Linked DNA regions of Oryctolagus cuniculus. The protein of the gene in region 2 purifies or fractionates together with the protein of the main gene of each other region. This does not show direct contact. Links are inferred from orthologs where the notes say so. Each region holds a gene or a part of one and is shown on either strand. Other genes may lie near its edges.

Evidence for each region.
Region 1: the proteins of LIN7C (region 2) and ARHGEF26 purify together in Homo sapiens (affinity purification with mass spectrometry; 3 studies listed by BioGRID and IntAct, counting the BioPlex papers as one, with this or other methods). This does not show direct contact. The link is inferred for Oryctolagus cuniculus from reciprocal best matches to the Homo sapiens genes LIN7C and ARHGEF26.
Region 3: the proteins of LIN7C (region 2) and PALS1 purify together in Homo sapiens (affinity purification with mass spectrometry; 3 studies listed by BioGRID and IntAct, counting the BioPlex papers as one, with this or other methods). This does not show direct contact. The link is inferred for Oryctolagus cuniculus from reciprocal best matches to the Homo sapiens genes LIN7C and PALS1.
Region 4: the proteins of LIN7C (region 2) and DLG1 purify together in Homo sapiens (affinity purification with mass spectrometry; 4 studies listed by BioGRID and IntAct, counting the BioPlex papers as one, with this or other methods). This does not show direct contact. The link is inferred for Oryctolagus cuniculus from reciprocal best matches to the Homo sapiens genes LIN7C and DLG1.

Annotation. Positions count from the first base shown.
Region 1 is NC_091435.1:126,757,543-126,764,850, forward strand, and holds part of ARHGEF26 (rho guanine nucleotide exchange factor 26), read right to left. Parts: intron 2,571-7,308; coding exon 2,361-2,570; intron 1-2,360. UniProt on the Homo sapiens protein: Activates RhoG GTPase by promoting the exchange of GDP by GTP. Required for the formation of membrane ruffles during macropinocytosis. Required for the formation of cup-like structures during trans-endothelial migration of leukocytes.
Region 2 is NC_091432.1:38,876,609-38,884,678, reverse strand, and holds the start of LIN7C (protein lin-7 homolog C), read right to left. Parts: upstream 4,149-8,070; 5' UTR 4,084-4,148; coding exon 4,047-4,083; exon of another isoform or gene 348-4,046; coding exon 229-347; exon of another isoform or gene 1-228. UniProt on the Homo sapiens protein: Plays a role in establishing and maintaining the asymmetric distribution of channels and receptors at the plasma membrane of polarized cells.
Region 3 is NC_091451.1:13,182,955-13,190,262, reverse strand, and holds the end of PALS1 (protein PALS1), read right to left. Parts: intron 4,346-7,308; coding exon 4,169-4,345; 3' UTR 1,386-4,168; downstream 1-1,385. UniProt on the Homo sapiens protein: Plays a role in tight junction biogenesis and in the establishment of cell polarity in epithelial cells.
Region 4 is NC_091435.1:83,755,852-83,763,703, reverse strand, and holds the start of DLG1 (disks large homolog 1), read left to right. Parts: upstream 1-2,809; 5' UTR 2,810-3,177; coding exon 3,178-3,265; intron 3,266-3,707; exon of another isoform or gene 3,708-3,738; coding exon of another isoform or gene 3,739-3,757; intron 3,758-4,406; coding exon 4,407-4,538; intron 4,539-7,852. UniProt on the Homo sapiens protein: Essential multidomain scaffolding protein required for normal development. Recruits channels, receptors and signaling molecules to discrete plasma membrane domains in polarized cells.

The DNA.
Region 1 (7,308 bases), on a different chromosome or scaffold from region 2:
CATTTCTGCATTCCTTATGTAATCAAAGCCATTGATCTGTTCTTCCACAATTTCACTCTTAGGAAGTTGAATTGTTCTTGTGCCAAACAGCTGCACCCCTCCCATGACTCATTTTATATTTCAAATATTCCCAGGAATATACTCTGCTGGCAACACTTTTTTTGAAAGAAAGTAAATGCATAGGTGTGAACCCCATTTTTTTCAGGTCAAGGAAAAAGTGACTAAAGGCTACATATGGCTGGTCTAAAGCTCTGCATTTTCTCCAGTCCACAGTGGCAGTGAAAATCTTGTTTTCCCAACCAGACTGATGATGGACTATATCAGCCAAATAAAGCAAAAGAGAACTTAAAACACATACACTAATCTAAACATTCACAAATCTTAGACGTAGAAGATACTGTACACAGACCAAAACTCTGAATGCTCAATACCAGGTAGCCCAGAGTTGACCTGCATATTTCCAAACAGAGTAAACAGCCAATTGCTAGGCTATTAAAGAGAATTTTTTTTTTTATTTCAACATCAATACTGCTTTACGTCGCATAAGCAATGTCCATTTGTTTACTTCTCAACTGTAACTGAAGGCAGGGATGGGTGATCAAGGACAATGAGAGTCTCTCCTTTTGTACCACAGAGACCTCTGCTCCCCTGGCCCTTCTGGAATTTCTCTTGCTATTAGAGACCTACAAATATGAATCATACTATGGTTTTACAGGTGACATAACTGAATAATCTAACAACATGTCTGATTGAGGAAATGAGCACCCATTCAGTCCACAGTAAGATCAAAAGGCAAGGGGGTTGAACGATGGCTACAGAGCATCCTAAGAAGAAATCTAGCCTTGGTATAGGAAGCAGTGGACATGGAAGTTCACTCCTTTGAAGAACCTAAGAAACAAATTGTCAAGATCACATCAGTAATGAATGAGACAGTCAGGAAAAGCTCTGCTGATGTGTTGGCAAGGCCTGAATAAAAAACAAACAATTCTTGGAAACAGTGAGCAAAGGAAGACACGAGGCAAAAACCAACAACACTTCCACCATTTCTGAGACTTCTCTAGGGCATTTGGACAAGGACTGATCTCCAAAGTATTTAAGATTTTCTCTTCCTTAAGTTCACAGAACATCCAAAGCTCAGACATAGTAAATTCCATTTTTAAAAGGTTGATTTATTTATTTGAAATGTAGAGCAAAAGAGCAAACAAGAGACACAGAGAAAGACAGATACTGAGACCTTCCATCTGCTATTTCACTCCCCAAATGGCCACAACAGTCTGGTGTAGGTCAGGCCAAAGCCAGAAGCCAGGAACTCCATCCTGGTCTCCCACATGCATGGCAGTGGCCCACATTCTTAGGCCATCATCTACTACCTTCCCAGGTACATTAGCAGGAAGTTGGATCAGAAGTGGAGCAGCCAAGACTTGAACCAGCACTCTGATACAGGATGCTGGCATCACAGGCAGCAGCCTAACCTGCTGCACCATAATGCTGGCCCCATACATTCCATTTTTGAAGAGAGGTTTTCCCAAACAAAGGAGGTTTAGGTCTGTCTTCACTAGCCAAAGCGTTTAAACAACTCTGAGTTGAAGACACGCCTTCCCTCAGCCCTGGCCTTGGATGTGTGCCATGCCGGGCATCTCACAGACATGCAGAGAGATATATGGAGGAACTCTGAGATGACAAGAAATTTAGGAGCTTCTCCTTTCCACCCACTGCCCCACCCTCTGGCTCAACATAATACCTCCCCACAATGTCAGTTCTCAAACAGGTAAATCCATCACCTCTCAATGGATCAAATTCCTAGAGTGGCTTCAAAATTAAACCCTCTTCCTCTCACCCAGTGTGGGAAATGACTGTACTGTAACTGCTGGTGAAGCTACCAGAACAAACAGGATGCCTGGTTTGCCTCTGTAAAAAGTCAAGATTGGAAAGAGAATTTATGAGTATGTTTCCTCAAACTGAATTTCTCATGGCAGAAATCACTGGGTTTTCTGTTTCTGGTTGAAAATAGGCGATTGAGACATGACTTCAGATGAGTCAAACTACCAGTTGAGTCATATTCCTTAAGGCTGGTGGATTTCATTTTTTTTTAATCATAAGAAAAAGAAATTTAAATCACTCTACAAACCACACCAAACACAATGTGTACAGGGACAGAAATAACAACATCCATTTCTTGTGGTACTGAGAAACTCCCAGTGAAATGAACAACACTTGGTTGAAGCACCCAGACACCGTGCATGTTACTGGACAGCAATAAACAGTAGCTGCTGTTCTTAGGGCATCTACACCAGAGGCAGTTGGGTGAAGGAGACAGACGTCAGATACTCTGAAACCTTTTTTCTCCTGCAGATACTTACTGTGTCTCAGCCCCTAGCAGCATTTCCACTTTCTCACCGGCATGGTTGCTAAGGACAGTGAGAGTGAAGAGGTGACTGGCAGAGCTCTGTCTTGAGTACAGCATTGTGGAACTGTTCTTTCCTGGAGAAGAATTAAGCTCTTCATTGTCACAAGATTCCACCAACAGCTGATCTCTTAAGGAATAATCGTTGACGTTGTAACTTTCTTCACTGAAATAGAAAAGGAAAAGAACTTGTCAATTACACATAAGACTGTGACACTGTCAGTTTCAACTAATTTTCAGGGAGAAGGTGAAAGGGGAAGGAAAGGAGCAGGATAGAATGACTTTAAAATATGAATTGGAATCTACTGATTAGGAATTAATGTATTCTATACCAATTAAACCAGTTAATTACTATGTTTATGTTTTTAACATATGGGAACTGCATCTCAGGTACGAAAGCATATTTTAAAAAATACAAAACCCTCTCTGGTTCGTGATGCATCACTTTGGAACTGCTGTTACAAGTAAGACTTGCATGCATCCTGGAAGTGCTTGAACAGGCAGGTGTACACCTCCCCGGTTCCACCTCTCCACCCAGAGAATGAAGAGGAAGCTCCAGGCCCACCAATGCCCTGGGTATCAAGGCCTCACTCTCTGCCCCAGAGGACCAAGCATAAAAGGGAAGAAGGCCCAACCTTTCCTCTCCCACACTCACCCAACAGCTGCAGTTGTTTCAGAAACCTCCAGGACTAATCCCATCATATTCTCTCTCCCTGTTTATCCTAGGACCCCCAGCACCCTTCATGCCCCAGGACCCTCAGCCCCATAGCTTGGTGAACACGTCTCACCTGGCCTCAGCTGGTTCCTGACCTCTTCCAATGCGTCCGCGAGCAATGCATTTCCTTAGAGAATCCAGTAACGTCATCTAAATCCTCAGCCTCTTTGCTGAACCCTCCTTTAACCTCACCATCCAATAACATTCCTTCTAACAGGAACTTGGCTCTTCCTGGAGGGCAACAGCTCTCTGCCTGCTTGCTTTTCATTCTGGCCTCTTGACAGTGATCACTTCCTCATGCCCAAAAGACCTATCTTTGACTCTCAAGCCATAAGCCTGTCTCACAATCACAATCATCCACAGAGCCCCTGGACCACTCCTCATCCTTTCATGAGTGTAGCTGCTGGCTCACCATCTCTCCAGCACTGTTTCGGGTTTTTTGTTTTTTGTTTTCAAGTTTTCTTTTTTTTTTTTTTTTAATTAATTTGAAAGTCAGAGTGAGAGTGAGAGTGAGAGTGAGAGAGAGAGAGAGAGAGAGAGAGAAGGAGGAGGAGGGAGAGAGACTTTCTATCCATTGGTTCACTTTCCTGATGACCGTATGGGCCAGGCTGAAGCCAGGAGCCAGAAGCTTCATTTGGGTCTCCCACGTGAGTGTAGAGGCCCAAGCACTTGGGCCATCTTCCATTGCTTTACCAGGCCATTGGCAGGGAGCTGGATCAGAACTGGCACCCATATGGGATGCAGGCACTGCAGGCAGTGGTTTTACCCACTACGCCACAATGCCAACCCCCAACACTGTTTCCTTCTATGTGGAGCTCCTTCCATCACCCTGGCTTCTCAGTCTCTAATGATCTTTTTCTCTGCCCTCTATCAGTAATCCCATTCACGATCATCCTCTACATCTTGTCACTGCCATCAGCTAGAACTCTCTCTAATCCCAGTGACAACCATACGTCTTCCTAACCTGCATCCCACTTTACAAACCAAGTCCTCTAAATGCCAACCCCAACAATTATGTAGCCTACTAGTTCCTGCAGTCATTGACCCTGCCTTTTCCTCTATCCTTATGAATCATGTCCTCTGCTTCACACACACTAAAGTGCCCAGCTTGGATTTCTTGGTGTTTAGCTCTAATCACTCCTGGCATACATGCTCAACTTTTGGGCTATACCTGACTGGCAAATCCCAAACCTGGTTAGATACAGCTATCCCTCTATTTTCCATGTCTGTACCCTTGCAGCTAAACATGGCAGAGCTTAATAAATAATTGTTGAATAGATTGATTGGGTATGTAATAAATTCTAACATATTCTAGGAATCAAATAACTACTTAACTTATTTAACAATAAATTCAAATGTATGGGCTCAGGGGAGCTAAGGGGATAGAAAAATCCTTATGCCCAGTCATACCTAACTAGGATTTCAGAACCAGCTACTTTGTTCAAGATTTCCTGCTATTTCTTTTATTCCAGGCTGGAAATCTGCCTGTCAGTCACTCTTTTGTAATTCTCCTTTCTGAAATTTATTTTCACAGATTCTACCATCACAAAACAACAAACACAGCTAACAGCAAAAAAGTCACCTTCACTTGTTTCTAGGGTAATAATCTGTATTACCTGAAAATTCACAGGACAAGATAATTTACAAACCTTTCCTGAAACTGTCCACAGACTAGCACATCCACACCCAGGATATATAAACTACTTCTCATATCCAAAATGAGACTTATCAAAGAGCACATGGAGTTTATACAAAGAGGAAGCAGGATAATACACTTCATAAACAAAAATGGTTATGCTTTAAAGAGACCACGTTTACTAGAAACAAAGAAGTCATTTTTAGCACAGTAAAAAAAAGTTGATAAGGTTGAATAGATGTCTCAGAAATTCAACTAACAGCCCAAGACTCCGGATAAAAACAAACAATAAAAATGTAAAAAGAAAATAAAATAAAAAGCATAACCTCAATAACAAGAACAAGAGAAAAAGAAGATTCAGGCTTCCATGTGACGGTCCTCTCTATACCTCCTAATTACTCTTAATTAACAGGTCAAAAGAGATGACCTGTTAGTCAAGGATAGCTGTTACTTATAATTCTGCAGCAGACTGAGAAATCTAAGTAATCTAATACTGTGAACATGGGTGTTTAGGTACACTGCATAGGTACCATAGGTATTTCCAAAGAAATGCATATGCTATAAAGTCATCTGGGGCTGGCGCTGTGGCTCAGTGGGTGAAGCTGCTGCCTGTAGTACCAGCACCATACATGGGCGCAGCTGCTCCACTTCCGTTCCAGCTCCCTGCTGATGGCCTGAGAAAGCAGCAGAAGCTGGCCCAAGTCTGCGGGCCCCTGCCACCCATATGGAAACCTGGATGAAGCTCCTGGCTTTGGCCTGGCCCAGGCCTGAGTGATAGGGCCATCTGGGGAGTGAACCTGAATATGGAAGATGTCTTTCTCAGTCTCTGTCTCTCCCTGTTTCTCTGTAACTATGCCTTTCAAATAAAATAAATAAATCTTTAAAAGAAAAGTCATATCCAAGATGACTCCAGTTCCTAAGAGTCTTCAGCATAATGTGGCTTTACCTATGAAGTCATTCCCAATTCAATTCAAGAGAAAGAGTTCACAGGAAACTTTAATAAACTAATATGGATAAACTAGGTAAGTCTTTTTCTTGCCTCTCTTAATTTTCAGAGTTCACAATTTCCCCCTGTGTTTCCTTAAATACAAACAACACTAGGGAGTATATTTCATCCTTGTTTTGCATCTTTGTCCTTTGTGGTAATCAAAGACAAAGGAGTAGTTTATTACTACGATGCCACTGATGAAGGGCTAGGGCAGTCATCGGACTCAGTGTGTGGCTGCTGTCCTCTCCCAAGTCCAGTTTCGATGATCAACTGTGGCCACGGTGCTCATGTGCATTCCCCTCAGGTTTCTATTCCCACACATCTGTGGAGCCATGTCATTTGATCAAGGAACTGTGCCCACTGTCTGCAACTAAAATATGATGCAGTGAACACATTGGCCTGTTTGTTTTTTAGGTGATTTATTTTCTATCATAAGATATCATTATTTTATCTAGGCCAGCACACTTTTGCACCACGAAATGAACCATGTAGCTGTTTAGAATCCCTTCCCTACTCTTTTACGGAATATATGTATGTGTGTGTGTGTGTGTGTATATATATATATACACACACATACACACATATTATATATAGTTATATATATAGTTATATATTTGTGTATATAGATATATATACTATACATAGTTATATATTTGTATGTGTGTATATATATATATATATAAAAAACTTGATTCCATTTAACAGTAGTGAGGTAAATTGATTATTTATCCCTGTAAGCTACCATTCAAACCCAAAGGAACAAAACCTGAAAATTAGCTCACTCTCTCTAACTCTTGTGCCTTTTCTCTCCCACACAGACTCTCAAACACTATCTCATGAAGGTTCAAAATAACCATGACTGTTTCCCCATATGAATCTGCTAAAAACTGAATGAGACTCATTCTTCTAATGCCGGCCAGCATTCAACCATCTCTCTCATCCTGACTCAGAAGCCCAACACTGTGTTAAAATGTGTGCTTGAGAAGCGGTGGGGAGAAGATAGCCCTAATGAGCTATTTACAGCCCACTTCCCTCCCCTCCACGCTCACCCTCATCCAGTAAGGACAGGGCACGCTAACCTGGCTGGGAAAGCAACCTCTTTCCTAGGGAAGCTGATATTAATCAGACTTCCCCACGTTTGTCTCCATCATCTAACAAACATATGGTTTACATAGTCTCTGAAACAATTTGGATCATGTAATTAGGAAGTTAAACTGCTCAGAAAAAGGCAAATGGAAAAACCACCTTTCCTTGCATGGAGAAGTTTATATGGAGACTTCCTTTGATTGTCTTATATGTGCTCCAAGCTTACCAGCTGCTCATCAAGGCTGTCTGCTGTGTGCAAGCAGCGGCTCCTATCAGGTGCAGCAATCAAACCAAATCTATAGAAGTCTTGCTCCATGGTGTAAACAATCATGGGTCTCCCTGATGGAACACACTTAAAGTCCTAGTAACCTTTGTTGTGATTTTTTTTTCTTTCCTTTTTCAACACAATGAAGAATTCTCAGTAGAGAACAGGATATGACGGTTAACATGCATCTCAGTTATTTTTCTCTCTGAAGATA
Region 2 (8,070 bases):
AAGGAGTTCCTGGCTCCTGGCTTTTTGCCTGGCCCAGCCCCGGCCATTGTGGCCATTTGGGAAGTGAACCAGTGGATGGAAGATCTATTTCTCTTTCTTCATCTGTCATTCTTTCAAACAAACAAACAAAAAACTTAAAAAAGAAAAAAAAAAAAAGGATATTCTGCACCCCAATTCCAGAGGCTAATCAGTTCAAAATTTTAGTAAATGTGAATCACATTTACTTACCTCTCTCACGGCATTGCAGAACTCACTTTGAAGGACTCTTTGTAAAGCCTGGAGTTTCTGCGGTGGTACCTCCCCACTTCTCTGCAGTTTTTCCAACAATTCAATTGCTCTACAAATATCTAAAGTTAAAAAAAAAAAAAAAAAACTGATAGATAATTTTCTCCAAGGATTCTCTATATGCTCTATATGCCTATGTGACAGTGGAACAGTATTCATTTCTCAAGGACTAACAAGAAATATATAGAAGACAGAGGGGGAAAGTGTGCATATGCACATATATGGGGAGGATTTGTGTGGCTAAGTACGTACATGGCAGGTGGGAATGCAAAATCTGAGAATGCCACATTTTAGAGTACATTAGGAAAAAATACATGTTGCAAAAGGTAGAAAATCCAGGAAATGGAATCTTTTGAGATAGGCAAATTGAAAATAAAAAACTGAATATCACCAGAAAGGACTGGGGCTCAAATGTGATAGAGCCTGTCCTGCTTCAGAACAGCTGGCAGTACTCACATTACCAGGAATGATTTAGTCAATAAAAATTATTAGCATCCAAAGCATTGAACAGGATAATTTTCCTTGTGCTGGTGAAATCACTATTCAATTCCTGACTGAAAACATGACACATATGTAGATGCAAAATATTCATTAACAGGTGTAGTTAATGGTAGGGAGCCGATTAAAACAGTACAAACAAAATTAACTGCTCTGCTTTCAACTTAGGATCAATGTATTAATTCAGGTAAGTTCAATCAAATACATGCTTACAAAATAGAAAAATAAAAACTCTATGACTGCCAATTTCACCTCAACACTATCTGTATATAACTGGGCAAGCCACTTAATGTCTCAGTGTCTCAGTTTCTTTTGTACTGTAAGATGGAGACAACTGTATTTTCCTAAGAGTTACTTGATGACTGAAACAAACAACAACATGAAAAAGGGCCTAGCATGCATAAATGTAATTATATGGGCACCAATTACTCACAACACTAAGAGGCTGAATACATTTATGCAAATGCATTAAGCATGCCGGTCAGTTCTCATTGGGAAGTGTGAGGATACATGCTTACGAATTCAGAAGTTTCAGAGTCAGACTCATGTTCCAATACTATAACTACCTCTATTCTGACTTTTTTTTCTGAACTGCTTTTGTACCCCAGTGGACCAGAGTATTGGCTATTATTCCTTTCCTGTGTCCTGACTGAAATGGAAGAAGTTCCTAATTTCATGTTATACCTAAGGACTGAAGAGTCCTCTTCATAGAATATTGCCTTCTTTGTATTTGCAGCTGGAAAATTATGAATACATGTAGTAAAGAAGGAACGTGGTTTTTCAATTTCAGATAATAAAATCTTACACTGATGTTTATCAAATGCAATGATTTCCTACCACCAGAAAGGCTAATAATGGAGATAGTTGGTTCACCAATTATTTGCAAAGTTATAACACATGAGCCATGTAAAAATTTTAAATTAACAAAAAAATTTAAGAAAGTAGAACACCCTTTACTAAATCTACAATGTATCTGATAAGTACTCAAATTCGTTTTCTAGTGAATCACGTTTTGATGATTTAGAGGGCTCTTGGGATCTTGATCACAGGCATTAATTTTATAAGATTATTGCAAGCGTTTGTTAGTAGACTCTGATAAAATTCTACATACAAGTTGATGAAATCTGACTTCATCTTGATAAATGGAACCACTACTAACTTATTTCTACTATAGTGCTGAGAATTCTATTGTAGAACTATAGAAACTTGGAAAACAAAACACAAAATCATCACTAATTCCAGAAATGGAGTTCTACATTTCAAAATACACAAAAATTTAATTCTATTTCTAAATATGATTAATGAAAATTAAAAAAAAATGATATTAACAGTTCTATTGGGGCCAGTGCTATAGCGTAGCGGGTAAAGCCACCACCTGCAGTGCTGGCATCCCATATAGGGGCACCAGTTCTAGTCCCGGCTGCTCCACTTCTGATCCAGCTCTCTGCTATGGCCTGGGAAAGCAGTAGAAGATGGCCCAAGTCTTTGGGCCCCTGCACCCACATGGGAGGCCCAGAGGAAGCTCCTGGCTCCTGGCTTCCGATCAGCGCAGCTCCAGCTGTTGTGGCCATTAGGGAAGTGAACCAATGGATGGAAGACCTTTCCCCCCTCCTCTCTCTCTCTAACTCTGCCTCTCCAATAAATAAATACATTTAAAAAATTCTATTTACTGTGGAATCAATTTTTAAAATCTCATTTAAAAACAATATTTTCCAAACAGTACACCAGATTTGGTACTAATTTTAAATTAAAAAAATAAGTTTGCCTTTAGAGTATGAAGATTTACTGCCCCTGAAAACCTTCTGGCCCTTAGTTCTATAGAAAAGTTCAAAAGTGTTTAACAACTATAAATTCAAAATGAATATCACATTTCTTTCCACATGAGCTAGAGGCTCTATGTATTTTCTAATTTCTGTCACACATTTTGCACTGTACTTAAAAATACAAAAATATGCTAACTTAGAATCCTACAAACACCTTTCATAGAAAAATACCTCCTCCTGTTAACACCAAACAGATTTGTTTCTATCTACAAAGCACAATGCCATTGCATTCGCAAGGAAGATGTACAGTCTTAGGTCTAGCTACGCCCCTGTCATAGAGTGCTGCTTTAATTAACAGCCTGGTGGGCTGAACAGTAACAATCTCATATACAAAGAGGCTTCCAAATGGTGAACACCATAAGGAGTAAATTTACAATTGAAAGTACACATTTGTTTGTGGGATGATATGACAGAAGTACAATAATTCTAAAAATGTATATTGTTGTTAGAGGATATTAATAACTATAACTGCAAATTTGACCAAATGTGACAATGTGCAAAATAATTTCAATTTCCACTCTATGCTTTGTTTCCCAACAGTATTCAAAATACTTACCTTGTACTTCTTGATTATTTTCAAGGATTCTAATGCTGTTGTGTTTAAAATCTGCTTGAAAAAAACGATTTGAGGAGGATGCAGGAGTGGAATATTGGAAATCTGTATCAGGAAGCTGGTAGGGGCAGAGTCGGGTATTTTCACAGGCCGATTCCTCTCTACATTACTCAGTGGAACAGGTTTTATTTTCCTTCACAATCTAAGAAGCAATCAACCTGCCACAGTTTGCAATTGTAGTGTTTGTAAAGAAAGCATAACATGGCACCTGCAAGTGTCACTCACTATTCCATCTAGTTGTATAAACTTCCCAAGATCAAGTCAGTAGCATCGTTCTTAAAGCATCCTCTCCTTTACTGAAAGGAAAAGCAAAGCTAGTTTCCAAACACAAGTGACGCTGGGGTGAAAGCAATGCGGTTTGTGCACTAAGCGGGGCACTGGAGGAGGTGCCGTGTCTGCTAAGTGTGTGATATGTGGGTGAAGGCGGGGACACGGGGTTTTGCGCGTGCATGGGTTCGAGTGTAGTCGGTCGGAACACAGCGTGTGACGTTTGCTTTTAGAGCTTACAGGTCTCCAAATGCCGCGTCTGCTGTGGCCACCCATGGAGCCCATGTGCCGTGCCTGTATGCGAACGCGGGCAAGGTTGTGTTTAACAGTGCTAAACACCCGGACAGTCCGTGCTGAACAGAGCGGGGCTGGATATCAATCAAAAGACCTTAAGCTCACTCCCGGGAGCCGCGCACAGCGACGTAGACGGTTGCATGCGCCAACACCATGGACGGCCTGGCTCTGGATCTCGGGACCTAGACCTTCCCTCCTCACTTCCAGCGACACGGCACTCTCACATACCCTCCACCCACCTCCGTCCGGACCCTGGCCGCACTCACCCCTTTCTAGCCGTACAGGTTCCCCCAGCGCCGCCATCTTCTCTTTTAGCCTGCAGACCCACAGGAAATGACGACAGAGGCGCTGAGGCAGGGGCGGGGCCTACCGGAGCCGGAAGGGCGAGGACTAGCGGGTATCGCGAGAGCAGGCGGGTGGCGAGGTGCTTCCCGGCGCTTCCAGTGTAGGTGTATTTGCGCGTGGGAGTTTAAGGTAGGCTTCACTCCTTAGCTTCTGGTGTCGACCAACTAAGATTAAGAAAAGCCCCTTTCCCAACTCTAACACCTTGGTACAGGTTTCATACCTCTTACTTGAAACCCTTGGCTTCACCTAGGATAGAGAAACGGCTTCAGAGAAGCAGAACCAAAAGACTATAAATAGCTACGTACAAAGAGACTTACCCTGAGGGATTGAGTGGCTCGGGTGATTGTGCAGATTTGTTGTCCGAAAGCTGGAGACCCAGGAAAGATGGGGATGTAGTTCCAATCCAGACTCCAAGGCCTGAGCCCAGGGAAGCTAGTGTTGTGAATCTTAGTCCGAGTGTGCAGTCCTGACAAGGAATTCGGAAAAGATGGATATCTCAGTTGTCTGAAAGACTGATTGGATGATGCCCACCCACATCAATGAGGGTGATCTTAGTTTACTGATTCAAATGCTAATGTCATTTAGAAACAGCCTCACTGACCTAGCATCTGAGCATCCCGTAACAGTCAAAATGACACAGCAAATTAATTATCAGCATTTTTCAGGGGAGCCCATGCAGATGGCTTGCAGAGTGGTGGCTCAGTCACACTGGAGCAGGGCAGAAGACTAAATGGGATGTCACCAAGAAAAAAAAAATGAAATTTGCAATTCACCAATGTGGATGACCATTTTTAAAAATTTTTATTTTCTTTATTTGAAGACAGAGCGACACAGGGAGAGAGAGAGTTCTTCTTCCTGCTGGTTCACTATCCCAAGAAGGCCAGAACTTCATCTGGGTTTCCCACAACTTCATATGGGTGACAAGGATCCAAGTTCTTATGCTAGCATCTTCTGACTGCCCAGATGTATTAGCAGGAAGCTAGATGGGAGGTAGAGCAGCCAGGACTCTCCTCAGCCAGTGCTCATAGATCCGATACAGGTGTCAAGCTGTGCCCCAATGCCTGTCCCTTGGCCATGATTATTTTTAAAGTTTTGTTTGTTTAGTTATTTGAAAAGTTAAGTGACAAAAAGATTTTTTTGCCCTCTAGTTTACTCCTTAAATGCCCACAACTGCCAGGGCTGAGCCAGGCCAAAGCCTGGAGACAGAACTCAATCCAGGGCTCTCACATGGGTGGCAGGGACCCAAGTAATTGAGCGATCATCTACTGCTTACTAGGCGCATTAGGAGGAAACTGGATCCCAGGCACTCTAATATGGGGTACAGTGTCCCAAACAGCTTGCTCCATGGGTGACCATATTGATACCACACAAACAGTTTTAGTGGAGAGTTCAGGGAAGAACTGGTGACAAGCACATAGAAACTTAAGCAAATGGGGGTAAATGAAATAATTATTAATACTAAAAATCTAAAATGTTGGATGAGGAAGGAAATATAGAATACAAAATAGATTAACTGCATACCACAAAGTGATGGAAAGTACAGAGGGTGATAAAACACTTTATTTTTATTTAGTTGTAAACCTTGTAATGCTATTTGATGTTTTAAAAGAATAAATTTTAATAAAAATGAAACGTAATGATAAAATTAATAACCAGAATATTGTATAGTGTTTAATATATTTTGAAATCTTCAACTTTTATTAGCCTTGTATGTATTTATTTAAGATTTATTTATGGGGCCAGCTCCATGGCACAGTAGGTTAATCCTCTGCCTGCGGCACCGGCATCCCATATGGGCGCTGGGCGCTGGGTCTAGTCCCAGCTGCTCCTCTTCCGATTCAGCTCTCTGCTGTGGCCTGGGAAAGCAGTAGAAGATGGCCCAAGTCCCTGGGCCCTTGCACCACATGGGAGACCTGGAAGAAGTTCCTGGCTCCTGGCTTCGGATTGGCACACCTCCGGCCATTGTGGCCACCTGAGGAGTGAACCAATGGACGGAAGACCTTTCTGTCTGTCTCCCTCTCACTGTAACTCTATCTCTCAAATAAATAAATAAAATCTTAAAAAAAAAAAAAAAAGAGATTTTTCCATCTGCTGGTTCAGTGCCCAAATGGCCACAAAGAGACTGGAACTTTATTCAGGTTTCCCACTTTAGGAGACAGGGGCCCCTGCACCTGCATGGGAGACCAGGAGAAGGCACCTGGCTCCTGTCTTCGGATCGGTGCAGCGCCGGCCGTAGGCGGCCATTTTGGGGGGTTAACCAACGGAGGGAAGACCTTTCTCTCTCTGTCTCTCTCTCTCACTGTCTGTAAACTCTGCCTGTCAAATAAAAAATAAAAATATCTTAAAAAAAAAAAAAAAAGAGAGACAGGGGCCCAAGTACTTGGTCTACTTACTCTCTTCCCAAGCACATCAATAGGGAACTGGGTTAGAAGTGGAGTAGCAAGGACTTGAATCAGTGTTCCAATGTGGGATGCCCATTTCTCAAGTGGTAGCTTAACTCACTGAGCCACAACATCAGCCACAGCCTTGTATTTTCAATTTGAAATGTTTGCTTTCGGGATTTGGACATAAAGGATATTAAAAATCTTGACTGCAAAAACTATGTGAATGTTTGAAAGCACAGACTTACTAGGTTTGAAGTAATTTTTAGTTATTAAACAATTTTCATTTGTTAGATTTATTAATTTGCATTATCAGATGTTTGAATCCTAGGAACTGTAGTCATTCCATGGGTTTGCTACCTTTGATTGAATACTCAGCTCTGGTTCCATCAACTGTGCGTTATGGAATAGAGGTAATGATTAACCTAGGGCTCTGATAGGACTGTGGGCAGAACATCTTCCTTTAGAAAGGGCTGAGCATTGGGACTAGTGCTGTGGCATAGTGGGTTGGCATATCATATGGGTGCCAGTTTAAGTCTAGGCTGTTCCACTTCTGATTCAGCTTCCTGCTAATGTGCCTGGGGAAGCAGTGAAAGAAAGCTCAGATCCTTGGGCCTCTGCACCTACATGTGAGACCTGGGTAAAGCTCCTGGCTCTTGGCTTCAGCCTGGCTCAGCCCTAGCTGTTGTGGCCATTTCAGGAGTGAACCAGCAGTTGGAAGACCTCTCTCTGCCTCTCCCTCTCTGTAACTCTTTCAAATAAACAAATTAATCTTTTAAAAAAAATGAAATGAAATAAAGGCTGGGCATGGCAGACAATGCATTTGGTGTATGTAGTAAAATATATTACGTATATATTTGGGGAAGACCTTTCAGTTTCCATAGGAGTAGCAACTGGACGTGGGAAAGCACTGAAGTAAATGTCAGAAGCTCTGGTTTCTAATCATAGCAGGGCCACCATGTGATAGTGTGATCTTGAGAATATCAGTCTTGCTCTAGACCTGTTTCCTCATCTGTCAACACCACTGAATAAGGTCTGTACATGAAAATTACTTAACCATAATTAATTACTGTACTCATACAGTAAGTAATATAGCATATATTTATTTAAATACAAATTCCCTTGAGCTTCATAGATTTAATAAACCAGAATCTGTGAAAAGGCCCTGGGAATCTACATTTGAAAACTTTCTTGTGATTCTAACTCAGCCAGCCTGACCTGTGTTTGGGGTTCAAAATGTGATTGTTAGGGTCTCTTCCTCCTAAAATTCTTTTTCTTCGCAAAACTGCAGAGATGTGTTATTGAGGGAATTATTTCCATTATAAAAAGATAAAGTGTCCTTGCATAAAGGGCAACATTTCTAGCTGATTTTAAAATTCATGTCAGGGGCCAACATTGTGGTAGAGCAGGTGAGCCTGCTGCCTTGGAGTGCTGGTTTGAGTCCTGGCTGTTCTACTCAGGTCCAGCTCCCTGCTAATGCAACTGGGAAAGTAGTGGAAGATGGCCCAAATACTTGAGCCCCTTTCACCCATGTGGATGACCCGATGGAGTTCCTGGCTCCCAA
Region 3 (7,308 bases), on a different chromosome or scaffold from region 2:
ACCGGAGCCCACATGGGATGCCGGTGCTTCAGGCCAGGGCTTTAATGCACCACGCCACAGCACCAGCCCCAGTTTAGCATTTGTTAAAATGAAATCAAGAGCAAACACCAGACAGGTAATTTGCTGTGTGAAGTCGAAGTAATCTGATCCCAAGGGGAGGGACCAGATCAGGAACGGGAATAGAAAGCTGGACTGGGGTGAAGAAGGTATGTCTGAGTATGATTTGTGTCCTCAGAGTGGTAGTGTAGGAAAAAGGGATATGAATAGAGGCATGTAATATGCTGAAGTTGTATATTTTCAACAACTATCATGCTATCCTCAGTGTTCTCAAGTCCCTGGCTGCTTTTGAGGTAAAATCTGTCCACGTATTACATTCTTCCTCCCACAAAAACCTTTCGGCTTCATAGCCTTAAGCTGTCCATCTCTAATAAAGTTTTTTTTTTTTTTTTTTTTTTTTTTTTTTAAGATTTATTTGAGTTACACAAAGTGCCACCTTGCTGGCCCTCGTTTTTTTAATTGTTAAAACTTTATTAGAGGGGCCAGTGCGGTGGCACAGTGGGTTAATGCCCTGGCCTGAAGCGCTGGCATCCCATTTGGGCGCTGGTTCTAGTCCCGGCTGCTCCACTTCCAATCCAGCTCTCTGCTGTGGCCTGGGAAAGCAACAGAAGATGGCCCAAGTCCTTGGGCCCCTGCACCCACGTGGGAGGCCCAGAGTAGGCTCCTGGCTCCTGGCTTCAGATTGGCGTGGCTCCAGCTGTGTGGCCACCTGGGGAGTAAACCAGCAGATGGAGGACCTCTCTTTCTGTCTCTACCTCTCTCTGTAACTCTTTCAAATAAATAAAATAAATCTTAAAATAAAACAAACAAACAAACAAACAAAACTGTGGGGCCAGTGTTGTGGTACAGCGGGTTAAGCCACTGCCTGCAATGCCAGCATCCCATATGAGCCCTGGTTCAAGTCCCAGCTGCTTCACTTCCGATCAAGCTCCTTGCTAATGTGCCTGGGAAAGCTGCGAAAGATGGCCCAAGCACTGAGGCCTTGCATCCACATGGGAGACCCAGATGAAGTTCCTGGCTTCAGTGCTACTGTTTGGGGAGTGTACCAGTCGATGGAAGACATCCACTATATCTAACTCTAATTCTGCCACTCACATAAATAATTAAATCTTAAAAAAAAAACCAAGAGAGAAACAGTAACTATTTAAGTCTGTGCCAAGAGGGGGCATGCCCCACATAAAGAACAAATTAAATACCCCCCTACTCTCCCACCTCAGAGCATCTGATGGTCTTGCTTCTGGCCAAAATCTGAAGAGGAGGGTGTCTTCACTTGTGTAGAAACCTTGAGTGGGAGAGGACATAAACAGCTAGAGAACGAACTCGGTGGCTTTAAAATTTGCAATATATTTTTCCTTTTATTTGTACAATACAGCATGTAGTATGACATCTCGAAATAACAAGAGTGCAGATGCAGGGCAAGAAGTTGGAAGGCAGATTAACAACAGATGCCAGAAAGGTCACCTTTATTAAGGCTAAATCCCTGGTTTATATTTCCACACACATTCGCAAAATTACATTCAAATCATTCCTTATCACTACTTATTCCTTAGAACATGAAAAAAGGGGAACAATCCAGACATTAGATTTTCATAGAAAGCAAATCTGGATTAGTTTAAATATTATTCTCCTTCCATTTGTTCTGACTTAACGAAAATTTGGAAATGAAGCTATTTCCTTATTTGGATTTTCCAAGTATATTTCTTAGCTATTAGTATCATTTCTGTCAGTGGTTAAGATTCCCCCTTGCACAGGGCTCTCCAATCAAGACCATAGAGGGACAGGAAATGGAACTGGCCAGAGCTGCTCTACAACTAGGTACACAACAAGGTGCTTTTATCCTCATTTTTTTGAGGAAGGCAGCAACAATGGTTTTCACTTTGTTTAGGGGTTGTGTTGAATATCAGCATATCCATATCACTTAGAAAAAGTTTGAGACACAGACATTTCTTCTATGCAATGGAAGGAGAGAATTACTTTAATGACCCTGAAAATATGTTACCTTGTACTTCCCAAAAGCATAGCATGGCAGGGACCTTGGTATAAAATCTGCTTATTAAAGCCGTGTGTCTGAGTCTTGATAGCACTTGGCCCTAGTAAAGCCCCTCTGTCTGCTGGGGCACAACAGCCGCTCACTGACTGCCTGAAACCTCACTCTACCAGGACTGCTGAAAACACCTATCAGTTACACTCAAGGCAGATCAGACAATTCTGCTGGCCAGACTACCTATCACTCCTAGAGAATGTAAGCTGGAAAACTGAGACGATTAAGTGCTAAGTATATGCCTTGGTTTTCAAAGCCAATCACTGGTGTGACCACTGTATTTTCCTGACCTAAGTTGGAGTGTTTCAGATTTGAAGAGACCATATATATGATATTCCTTCCCTCAACCCCAGGATACTTTCTTCCTAAGGAACATTATCTTGAAATATTTCCAAATAAGACACACTCTCTAGCCAACTTAAGTTACGCAAATGTGAACAAAAAAGGCAACATATAACTGTTTACATTTGTTCAAATAAAATTATATGGAAGAGAAAAAAAATGAAATATATACATCACACTGAAACAAAATACTCATTAAAAACAAACAACTACTTATGTTAAATTAAGTGATAAGTCAGTATATTCCAGTGTTTAGCTTGGGAGCAGGAAATGCTGTAGCTAAAGTCATCATAAAAATAAAATCAAGACATTCACATTTGAGGTTTGTCACACACACTATCCTTAAAGGCCTGAAAAGATTACAACTTTCCATGCCAGTAATAAATGTTGAGCTATAACTACACAGACAGTACAAAAATCCCATTAGCTTAAACATTGCTTTTATGATTTAGCAAGCTGTTCCATTCTTGTCATCACAGGCACACCTTATTGGGATAAAAACTCATTTCTATGTGCTTAAGAAATGCCCTCCACCCCCTCACAATGTTATTTTCCTAAAATGTTCAAGTGACTTTCAGGTCTTCCTTTCCTTCTGATCTCAAAGTCAATTGTCATAGTATTTCCCTAAGATATATATGTATATAAAATTTTATTCCAATGCTGAACAAGTGTTATCAATGACCATTTATCGATCTGTTAAAATTAGTATACAGTACAGCAGCTATATTCATCAACATAATTCCAGTTTATTACCTACATACATAGCATAGCCATAGACTTTTATGGTGCTCATGTATAAAAATGCAAAAATGGTCAAATGTGTTATGTCCTCCCATGTATATAAAAAACTATTTGCATCATGAGGAAGAAACTTTGAGTCAACACAGTTTTATATTAATGCCATTCATAAAAATCTAATAGTCTATTGTACTATGCAGATCAAAGAAAGGAAGTGAGGCTATCAAATCATTGTAATAATTTAAGAAAAATCAAATTATAAAAGATCAGCATAATCTGTAAGCCTTTAACTGGATTACAGCCTGCTGGGGGTGCAGTCTGAGCCACTAAGCTTGGGTTAAAAAGCTGGTGCTTCTAACAGAATGCTTCTTTTTTTTTTTTTTTTTTTTTTTTGTTAGAGGAAAAAGACAATACAAATAAATTCAAGCCTAAACAAAGTAGCTCCAAACCAGAGTGCCACCGTTTTGTTTTTTCTTTTCTTTTTCAGGAAAGTTCTTTTCACTAAACCAGTCTCCTAAGCCAATACTGTTTTTGCCCAATGCAGAAAAGCACAGTCCCTTCAAAATATTCCCATGAAGTCATTTAAGTGTTAAATGACATCAATATTTATAAGTACATGAGACATGGACTATTGTGTACATACATACAAGTTTTTTTTATAGAAATATAGCCAAGCAGAAAAGATTTAGGTGAAAACAAAAGGTTTTAAGAGGGTAAAATGGAACTGCTGTGTTGAAAGCTTCCATTTAGAATCCCAAAGTGAGGCAAGAACCTTTAAAAAGCCATTTGCAGAGAATGAAGAAAGCTGTGCACACAGTTGCCTAAGGGAACTTTCTCCTCACTAGTTTAAGGGATGTAAGGATGAAAACCAGGTCTACAGCTTACACTGCTGCCTTCCACCTTATCTTCAATCTTGCTGAAGTATCAGGATATCTTCCTGTTGACAGCTTGACAGATCCAATCCAATTATGCTGCCGAACGGATGTTTCTTCACCTCAGCCAAGTGGATGGCACCCACTGAGGTTCAGTGTCCAGTTTGTTAATTAACCTAAGCAATTCCTGATAGGCTTTATCAAGATCTGAATTCACAATTGCTGTGTCAAAGTAGTGGCCATTGTTCTGCTCCATCTCTCTAGTCTTCTCAATGATTTCTCTCAACTCCTCAGGCTGCAAAGAAGAGAATAAAATCTGTGAGGTGACTCTTCTCTTTACCAAAATATAGGATGAGTCAGAGCCAAAGAACAAAGGCTGACTTACATCACAGAATGCAGACTGTTACTGTGAATTCCCTACAAACTTGTTTTCAAACATTTTAGGGAATAATAATTTCTTCCCCAAAGTAACATCTTTTGTAACCTGGAATGGACCTTCTGCTTGGAGCAAGGACCCAAAACATCATCTACTCTTGGATCTTGTAAAGACCCCTGCTCTTTTTATCTGGCAGAGTTAGGTAGAGAAAACACCATGGGAAAAGAAAAGGATTAAAGAATGGGTATTCTTTTCTATGAAAACATGGCTGGTTAGCCCAAAATTTAACAAACTAATATATACTTTTGGGGAAAACACTCGCTGCTGTGTTTCAAAACACAAATGAAGTTGTTAAAAGGCAAAAAAAAAAAAAAAAAAAAAAAAAAAAAAAAAAAAAAAAAAAAAAAACCACCTACCAATTTAGGAAACTATGCAGAACAGAGTACTCTATTTAAAATACAGAGTAAAGGGAAGGGCTAGTTCACAGAGCCAACCAGGTGGCAAGGCTGTAGGCAAAACTTAACTAAATTCCTCTGATTTTGAGGCATAGGTGTTACTCAAGAAAGTGAAACAGCCCCCAAATCACCTGTCAAGGAAGATAACTAATTAACTTCAAGGCCAAATGTCTGGGGCTGGTGCTGTGGCATAGTGGGTAAAGCCGCCACCTGCAGTGCCAGCATCCTATATGGGCGCCAGTTTGAGACCCTACTGCTCCACTTCCAATCCAGCTCTCTGCTATGGCCTAGGAAGGCAGCAGAGAATGGCCCAAATTCTTAGGCCCCTGCACTTGCGTGGGGGACCCGAAGATGCTCCTGGCTCCTGGCTTCAGACTGGCCCAGTTCTGGCCATTGTGGCCATTTGGGGAGTGAACCAGCAGATTGGAAGCCCTCTCTCTACCTCTGCCTTTCAAATCAATCAATCTTTGGGGGGAAAAAAAAAAAAAAGACCAAATGTCTCAGGTGTAAGCCATATACTGTACTGAATCCACAGGACAAAACAATTTGATTCATTCAACAGAACTCCTCTGACAGTATGAAAAGATCAGACAACTCTGGCTTGTCCTGAGGCAGTTTCTCACATGGCTCTCTAATTTTCATTCTGGAATGTTGCGCATCTGAATATGGAACACAGAATCCTTTGTTCCTTAGCAGGGGCTCTACTTCACCATTGTAACTGAACACACTGACATTTTAGCTAAAATTTATGTGTACTCAAAGCTCAATATTATTGAAAGAACATTATAAGACTCCACAGGATAGAAAATTTGTGGTCCTAGAGTTGAAATGTAAATGCTAAGCCCCACTCCACCTAGTGTTAATCAAATTCAAGGCATTACTTCATCTTATGCTAAAATAATCACAATTTATTTAGTACTTTGTCTGAATTTCTCTTCCAAATTACAATCTAAGACTAAGATGAAGTAAAATGTGTTAGTTCAAAATATTTTGTAATAAAAAACAACCAAAAATAACAGCCAAAATTGACCATCAATTTATGCTGTTCAATTAACCACTCTCAAGATTCTGCACCAGCTGAATAGATTCAGTGCACAATTAGGTAACTGAATGAGTAGTTACACTTTTTCATCCAATTACACTACTTTCTTAACACAATTCCATAATTAAAATGGAAGATTTGTTTTCATTCAACATTTCAATCATGTGAGTAATAAAACACATGAGAAATAAAGGAGATAAAAAAAAGTGAAATAAAAAGAATTTGATACACCAATCCTCTACCTAATACAGAATACATGTTTTTTATAGGTGTACATGCAACACTGATGAAGCCAAAACTCAGAGGGTCTATAATCTGATCACAATGGAACTATAAATCATTAAGGTGTTAAATTTTTAAGTCCCCAAACAGGTGGAAGTGTGGCTAAGCAGAAAATGGAAATAACATACTTTTAAATAACTCCTGGGCTAAAGAAGAAAATGAAAAGGGAAATTAGAAAATATTTCTAACAAAATGATAATAAAAATATTATTTAAAAGCTACTGAGGGGCCAGCGATGTGGTGCAGTAGGTTAATCCTCCGCCTGCAGCGCCGGAATCCCATATGGGCACCGGTTGTAGTCCCGGCTACTGCTCTTCCAATCCAGCTCTCTGCTATGGCCCGGGAAAGCAGCAGCAGATGGCCTGAGTCCTTGGGCCCCTGCACCTGTGTGGGAGACCAGGCAGAGGCACTTGGCTCCTGGCCTTGGACTGGCGTAGCTCTGGCCGTTGTAGCCATTTGGGGAATGAACCAATGGATGGAAGACGTCTCTCTCTGTCTCTCCCTCTCACTGTCTGTAACTCTAACTCTCAAATAAATAAATAAAATTAAAAAAAAAAAAAAAAGCTTCTGAGGTGTATGTAATTAGAGAACTGCTTTTGCTTAGAGGAAAATATATAACCACCAATGCCTATATTTAAAAAGAAAGATTAAAATAAGTGTTTATCTTCAGAAACTATGGCAACTGCAAATTAAAAAATGAGGAGGGTTAAATAGAAAAAGACAAAAGCCATCTCCTTTCTTTTTCTAAAGTTTTATGGTTAAAACTTCTAATTTCCATATCAAGTTTTAAATTACAGAAAAATCTGCTGGGATTTTTTGTTTAATAGCATTATTGAGCTATGTTTAACTTATCCATATCCATACAATGTATCCATTTAAGGTATATAATTCAGCAGTGTTTAGTATTGTCACTGAGTGGTGTGACTGACACTGCAATCAATTTTAGAACATTTGCCTTACCCATTCCCTATTTCCCACACCCAAAAGAAGCTTAACTAGCAGTCACTCTCTTCTCCCAAGCCCCAGCTGTGAGTGACCACATCTATTTTAGGTCTATTTCCCATTCTGTACACTGTATATAAATGCAATAATAACATGTGATC
Region 4 (7,852 bases), on a different chromosome or scaffold from region 2:
ATTTTAAAAGTTTTATTTATTTATTTGAAAGGCAGAGTTACAGAGAGGCAGAGGCAGAGAGAGAGTCTTCTATCCGCTGGTCCACTCCCCAGATGGCTGCAATGGCCAGAGCTGTGCCGATCTGAAGCCAGGAGCCAGGAGCTTCTTCTGGGTCTCCCATACGGGCGCAGAGGCCCAAGCACGTGAGCCATCTTCTCCTCACCCAGGCCATAGCAGAGAGCTGGATCAGAGGTGGAGCAGCTGGGAGTTGAACTGGTGCCCATATGGGATGCCGGCACTGCAGATTTTAGCTTTATCCACTATGCCACAGTGCCGGCCCCATGCTAAGTTTTAAGCTACTCAACTTTGGGGAATCTGTTCTGTGGCAACCAATAACTCAGACAGATAGAAAGGAGAGTAAAGAGTAATGATGCTTCCCACGTGGCCAGAACCTTTCCTGGCCCTAAGTTCGGGCTAGTGTGAGGTCCAGTCCTGCTTTTGGGCACTCCTGACAACTGAACAGGGTAGTCACAGTAGATGACTTGATAAATAACATGCCCTATTTTTCTCCTCATCCTCACACAATTTGTTTTTGACCCCTTTTCTGGCTTCTGGGAAAGTTGTACTGGCTTTTGTTTATCAGCCATGAGATTGTGGATCCTTGAGAACAGATCCTGTGTCTCATTTCTTTCTCTCCCCATTGCCTAGCAAGCGCACACGTGAGAGTATTTTGAAAGATTTGTGAAGAGAGAGCATTTGGTGTAGTGGTTAAGACCCACTTGGAACAGCCCCATCCCATATCAGAGTGCATGGGTTCAAGTCTTGGCTCTGCTCCTGACTCCAGCGTCCTGCTAATGCACACCCGGGTGGGCAGCAGGTGATGGTTCATGTATTTGAGTCCCTGACAACCACATGGGAGACTTAGATTGAGTTCACTGCTCCCTGCTTCAGCCTGGCTTAACCCCAGCTGGTGTTGGCATTTGGGGAGTGAACCAGCAGATGAGAGATCTCTCTCTACTCCTCCCTACCTCTCGTCTTTTAAACAAATAAAATAAATAAAAATTAGTTTTTAAGAAAATCAGAAGATTTGTGAAAAACAGAAGTAAAAGATAAGCTTATTTGGCGTAAACAATTTTGAAATCCATGCAAACAAGGGTCTTCAAAAAGTTCATGGCAAATGGGTATTATGAAAATGTGCAAGTATCATTTTTGGCATTACAATGTTTTAATTCTATTTTCCATTAATATTTTGGAAGCACCTTTATATGTGAATCATGAGTAGTATCAAGGGTTACAGCAAACTTTCCTTCCTCTTCTCTCATATTTCAACACGACGCTGTCAAGTTCTCCAAAAGCCTGGTGGAAAGAGCCCTGGCCTGCAGAGGGAAGCCCCGAGTTGTTGGTCTGCTCTGTCACCGAAGAGCCTGCGTGTCCTCGGGCAACTTGCTTCCCCTTTGTGGAGCTCAGTCTCTTCATCAAGACCGAGAGAGTGGGTCTGGATGATCTCTAGTGTGTTCGGCGTCTCCCCAGTTAGGATTCCAAGGTGCATCAGAAAGTGAAACCCAGGGGTCAGCAGCGCGGAGCCGCAGCTGCGGTTACGGTACGAGGCTCCCGGGACTCCCCGTTATTAGCCAATGGCCACAGTGTGAGGGGAAGGCAGTCGGGTTCACCGGGAAGAGTGTTCCGGTCAAAGGACAGAAATCTCCCGGTTTCCAGCTCTGTCACTAACTCTGGTCAAGTTTTCCTTCGGGACCTCAGCGCAGGGAGGTCCCGCTTCCCCAGAAGAAGCGGAAGACCTGGCAGTGACCTGGGGAGCGCTCAGTACCTCCCCTTCTGCCGCCCGCAGGGCTCCAGCGGGCCGGCGGTTCCGCTCCGAGGTGCGCGAGAAAGTTGAAGGGCGCCGGGCCGGCGGAGGTGAGGTCTTAAAGGGGCCTCCAGAGCCTGAGCCACGCCTGAGGTGCTGGCTGGGCGGGGACGGCAGGCTTGGGGGGATGAATGCAGGAATGAGCCAGTGAACGAGGAACCTTCTCTCGTCACCCTTCAGTGCGCTCAGACTTGGGACCCAGACCTCAACTTAAATATCCTCTATTGAAAGCCTCAAACTCGTGCCACATTTCCCGGTCTCCCTACTGCGCATGCCCTTCTTTAATGAAAAAGTCTCAAACCTTTAAAGTGGGGCGCATAATAACTTCTAGACAATCAGTAGGACGGGGAAGGTGGCCTGGAGAGGGCACCCCCGCCCCTCCCCACCCCTCCTTTCTCCTCTCCCAAGCGCCGGCTACCCCGCCCCCTAACGTGGGTGGCGCCGTGGGCTCCTCCCCGAGTGGGGTTTGCGCAGTTGAGGAGGCACCCCGGCGGCGCCAGGCGCCCTGTCCGGTCGTGGAGTTGGGTGGAGCACGTGTTTGGTCAGGTTAAGGGGTGTTTCGGCATGTGCGTTTGGGACCCAGTGTAGATGGGGTCGCGTCCGTCTTCAGAGACCCCGAGCCTTTCCAGTCCCGCACGCTGCACCTCCAGAACCGCGGGGCACACGGTGGGGTGCAGCGAGGTAAAGGGGCAACCCCGGACCACCTGTAGAGTCCGTGTGTCAACTCCTTTGTCCTCCGAGCCTCTTGGGCGGCCGCCCCTTTAAGCGAGGAGGTTCACTCGGGATGCTCCCCGGGCCCCCCTTCGCGTTCCCCAGCCTCCTCCCGGTCCTCCTCCCCTTCTCAACCCTAAGGTAGCAGTGCTGAGAGCCCGGGGCTGGGCGCGAGCCGCCTCCTCACTTCCCATTGGCTGCGAGCGCCGGGAAAGCGGTCACGTGGCAGCGCGGCAGTCCAGCTCCGAGGCCGCCATCTTGGCGGAAAGTTTGGGGGGAGAGCGACCGGGGGCGCGGAAGGAGGCGAGGTTCCGGGGGTGGGGCGGCCAGCAAGCGAGAGGGCGAGCGGGTTAGCTGGCCGCGGCGTGTGAGGAGGCGGCGGCTGCGGCGGCCGAGGAGGAGGACGAGGCAGCGGGGGTGCGGCCGCCGAGGGGAGCTCCTCCCCCGTCCCCTCACCCCCTCAGCTCAGCTCCTCGAGCCCCGGGCGGGGCGGGGGTACGTGGAGCCGGGCTGGGCGGGGGAGCTGCTGCGACTCGGCCCGGAGCGCACCCCAGCTCCGAGTGCACGCCGCTCGCGGGAACTTTGTGGCAGCGCCGCAGGTGTGGGGGCCCGCGGAGGTGTGCATGTGGGGCGCGAGGGCGTCGCGGAGAGCGGCCGCTGCCCTGTCCGGACCCCGCCGGAGTAGCCCGGAGGAAACAAGCAAGGAGAAAGGCAAGCGAGAGGAGGGGGCTCGGGCAGGGCTGGGTCCCTTTTCCGAGCGCTCGGTGCCGCTGGCGCCCTAGGGGCCCAGGGTCGGAGCGCCCCTATACCCACCGCCCCCGGGGGCAGGTGGGGAGGCGGCCCCTCGGCCTGGCAGGTAGTGTGCTCTGTAAGGTGGGGGGAAGCTTTTGTAGAGAACTGGGAAGCCGACTTGATTGTCTGGTCTTCATTGGCGGGGGGATCCACCCCGAGGAGAACGCTTTCTACCTGGGCTGACACTGCTGGGTTTTGAGGCTGTTCCTTTCACTTGGGAAAACTTTGGAAGGGGGGCTTTGGATAATAGGGCTTTTTTTTTTTTTTCGGTTGGAGATTTAACGAGGAAATGCTAGTTTCTGCTCGATTCTATTTTTCAGTTTTGTTTTGTTTCCTCTCTTTCCGTTCTGTGTTTGCAAAGGTGTGTGCGGGCTTCCTGATTCTGGAGAAAAATGCCGGTCCGGAAGCAAGGTGAGGATTTATTTCAGAACACTCTTGTGGATGTCAGTTTTGTGATTGCTGTGTTGAAAATCTTTGTGTAACTTTGACGAGACACTGTGGAGCTAGTGTCATTGCTTGGGGAATCTAAGCCTCACATCATTTCAAAGATTGACACCTGTTCAACTCTTCTTCCTCTAGTAAATTCCAGAGGCAGTTAGTCCCGCCCCCCCCCCCGCCCCTTTAAAAAAAGCTCTGAATTGGTTTTCAGTATTTCACTTTATCACTCTTAGTAAACACTATTGGGTGAGCAGCTGTGGGATGCTAAGAGTAGTATTTTGAAACGCTTAAAATTTGAAGTATAATGACAACTTGTAGATAATCTGCTTTTGCTTATCAGGTAATCTGAAACGGTGCTGCTAATACTTGCATCAGACACTCTCACTGTGACAGACTAACAGTACATATCTGTTATACACTGCTTCCTTCCTTCCTTTTGCTACTGGGATGCATGTTCCAACAGTTTTCTGATCATTTTGGAGAACAGGTGTACATGAGCATTTTGCCGTTGATTGACCTAGAGAAATTGCAGAACTGCTCAGATGCCTTGCGGAATCATGTGCACTAGCATGCAAAGTTTGTAAATATGTATACACTTTTAATCAGTCTCTTCTTTTCTCAGATACCCAGAGAGCCTTGCACCTTTTGGAAGAATATCGTTTGAAACTAAGCCAAACTGAAGACAGACATCTCAGAAGTTCCATAGAACGGGTTATTAACATATTTCAGAGCAACCTCTTTCAGGCTTTAATAGGTAGGAATTAAAACTTTATTTGTGACCGTATGTGTCAGCTGGTTATGCTCCTCTGAGTTCAATTATTTAAACTTAAGAGAATGATATGTACTTGATTTTCTATGTGGCAGTTTGAACATCTTCATGGTTGATGATGCTTATCATGGTTAGGCTAGTATCCTTTCTAGAATTATCTAATAACCAAAAATAATCCACTTTAAGTAGAATTATTTCAGTCATTTTGAGAACAGTGTTTCATATTCTTGCATTAGCTAAAAGATGGAGAAGTTGCAGAAAGTTTCAGGACTCAGAAAGCAGCGACGGAATCATTAGCAGCTTATTTTCTGTATTTGATTTGTATTTCTCTGGCATCCTTAGGAATATTTGGGTGTTTCTGCTATGTTCAAGAATATTCTCTTAATATAGGACTCTGTGTAAGCTTGGCATTTATGGAGCCAGAAATTTAGATCTGAAAAATGATCTCAGAGATGATCTTTTTTTTTAATAACTATTTTGCAGACAAGAACATTGAAACAGAATTTTATTCATACTAAAGATTGAGGTGGTGTATTGTTTTAAAGGAGACTGGATAAATAGTCAAGGCCCCAAATTCAGTTCTTGACACTACCATTAATTGAATGATATTACACATGTTTTTTAACCTTTTCTAGAACTGTAGAATGTGAGTGGTGAAATATAACAGTGGGTTTTAAGTCTTTTTTTGTTAGGTAACTAGATCCTTTTTAAAAACAGAATTGTGTGTTTTGTATACACTCCCTGTTACATAAAATGTAGTGATAGATAAAGTGGCTGGGATATCTCTAAAAGTTTGCAAACCACTAAACTAGAAAATTTGTACCAGGGGCCAGCGCCGTGGCTCACTTGGTTAATCCTCCGCTTGCGGCACCGGCATCCCATATGGGTGCCAGGTTCTAGTCCCAGTTGCTCCTCTTCCAGTCCAGCTCTCTGCTGTGGCCCGGGAGGGCAGTGGAGAATGGCCCAAGTGCTTGGGCCCTGCACCCGCATGGGAGACTGGGAGGAAGTACCTGGCTCTTGGCTTTGGATCGGCGCAGCGCCAGTGTGGCAGCCATTTGGAGAGGGAACCAATGGAAGGAAGACCTTTGTCTCTGTCTCTCTCTCTCACTGTCTATAACTCTACCTGTCAAATAAAAAAAAGGAAAGAAAATTTGTGCCTTTCAGTTCTAAGAATAAAATTTTAATTTTGAAAAAAAAAAAAGATTTATTTATTTATTTGAAAGGTGGAGTTAGAGAGGCAGGGACAGAGAAGTCTTCCGTCCACTGGTTCACTCCAAATGGCTACAGCAGCCAGGGGTGGGCCAGACTGAAGGCAGGAGCTTCATCCTGGTCTCCCACGAGGGTGCAAGGACCCAAGGATTTGGGCCATCTTCTGATGTGTTCCCAAGCACATTAGAAGAGAGCTGGATTGGAAGTGGTGCAGGTGGGACTGGAACTGGTGCCCATATGGGATATTGGTGCTGTGGGTGGTGGCTTAGCCCTCTATGCTACAGTGCCAGCGTCTTAAAAATTTATCTTTTTAATTAGTCATTGACTATATAACATTTTAAAATACAGAGACATAGACTTCATGGTGTTAGAAATATTTCCTCAGTAACTTCCAAGCAGATATGGTCTTATGTTTTTCTATTGATTTGAGGACTACCTTCATTTCGGTGTTTCCTGATAACTTATTGATGAATTGATGTTTCTGGTTTATTTTAGAATTTTTTTTGAATTTTTAAATAATTTATTTACTTGAAAATCAGAGTTACACAGAGAAGGAGAGGCAGAGAGAGAGAGAGAGAGAGAGGTCTTCCATCTGCTGGTTCACTCCCCAGATGGCTGCATCGGCCGGAGCTTCGCTGATCTGAAGCCAGGAGCCAGAGACTTTTTCCCAGTCTCCCATGCAAGTGCAGGGGCCCAAGCACCTGGGCTGTCTTCTACTACTTTCCCAGGCCACAGCAGAGAGCTGGATTGGAAGTGGAGCAGCCGGGACTTGAACCAGCATCCATATGGCATGCCGGCCCTGCAGGCGGCAGCCTTACCTGCTGCGCCACAGTGCTGGCCCCTAGAATTATTTCTTACGAAGACTACTTGATACAGCTACTTGGTACACCTGAACAGTTTTAGAAATTTAACATTCTCAAAGACTTTCAAAAACATATATAAGAATAGAGAGCACAGTGTAGTGAACTACCACATATATGTCACCCATCTCAAAACTTACCAATATTTTTCCATTTGTGTTTATATTGATAGACTTTTTTACATTTAAATTTTTAAAATAATCTTTGTCTTTTGAAATTTTTTTTGTGTTTTATTTATTTAAAAGGCAGAGAGACAGATCTCCCATTTGCTGGTACATTTCCTAAATCGATAAGCCAGGAGCTCAATCCAGGTCTCCCATGAGAGTGGCACAGGCAATGGCTTAGGTACTATCTGCCCCACCCACCTAGGTTGCTCATTAGCAGGAAGCTGGAACTAGGAGCAGAGCTGGGACTGGTACCTAGGAACTCTGATAAGGGATGCGGACCTTCCAGTGGTATCTGAAGCATTATGCCAGACATCTGCCTCTGCATTTTGGTTTCTAAGATCTGAACTTTAAGGTCCAAATGGATGACTAAATTTGATTCCTCTGGAAAAAAAAAAAGGGGGGGGAAGGATAATTTTTTAGTTGTTTTATTTAATAGGGTCACTGTAGAAAAGACAGTATGACTTATTTGACCTCAGTTCCTTGTATATCTGGATATAATTTTTATGTACTTCAAAAAGTTTATGGAGAAAGGAATTAAGATAAGTATATTTTGGTGCAAAAAATTTTGCAATTTAGTTTTTCTAGTAGGTCTTTTTTCATGAGCTTTTTTTTTTTTAAAGATATTTATTCAAAGTCAGAGTTACAGAGAGAGAGAGAGAGAGAGAGAGAGAGAGAGAGAGGTCTTCCGTCCATTGATTCACTCCCCAACTGACTGCAACAGCCGGAGCTGTGCCTATCGAAGCCAGGAGCCAGGAGATTCTTCCAGGCCTCCCATGCGGGTGCAGGGGCCCAAGGACTTGGGCCATCTTCTTCTGCTTTCCCTGTCCATAGCAGAGAGATGGATTGGAAGTGGAGCAGCTGGGACTCGAACTGGTGCCCATGCAGGATGATGGCACTGCAGGTGACGGCTTTACCCACCATGCCACAGTGCCAGCCCCTCATGAGGTTTTCAAAGCCCCCTTGTATGCACAGATTTCAAAACTTTTTTTTTTTTTAACAAAAATTTATTTGAAAGAGTTACAGAGAGACAAATACAAAGAGGGAGAGATCTTCCATTCACTAG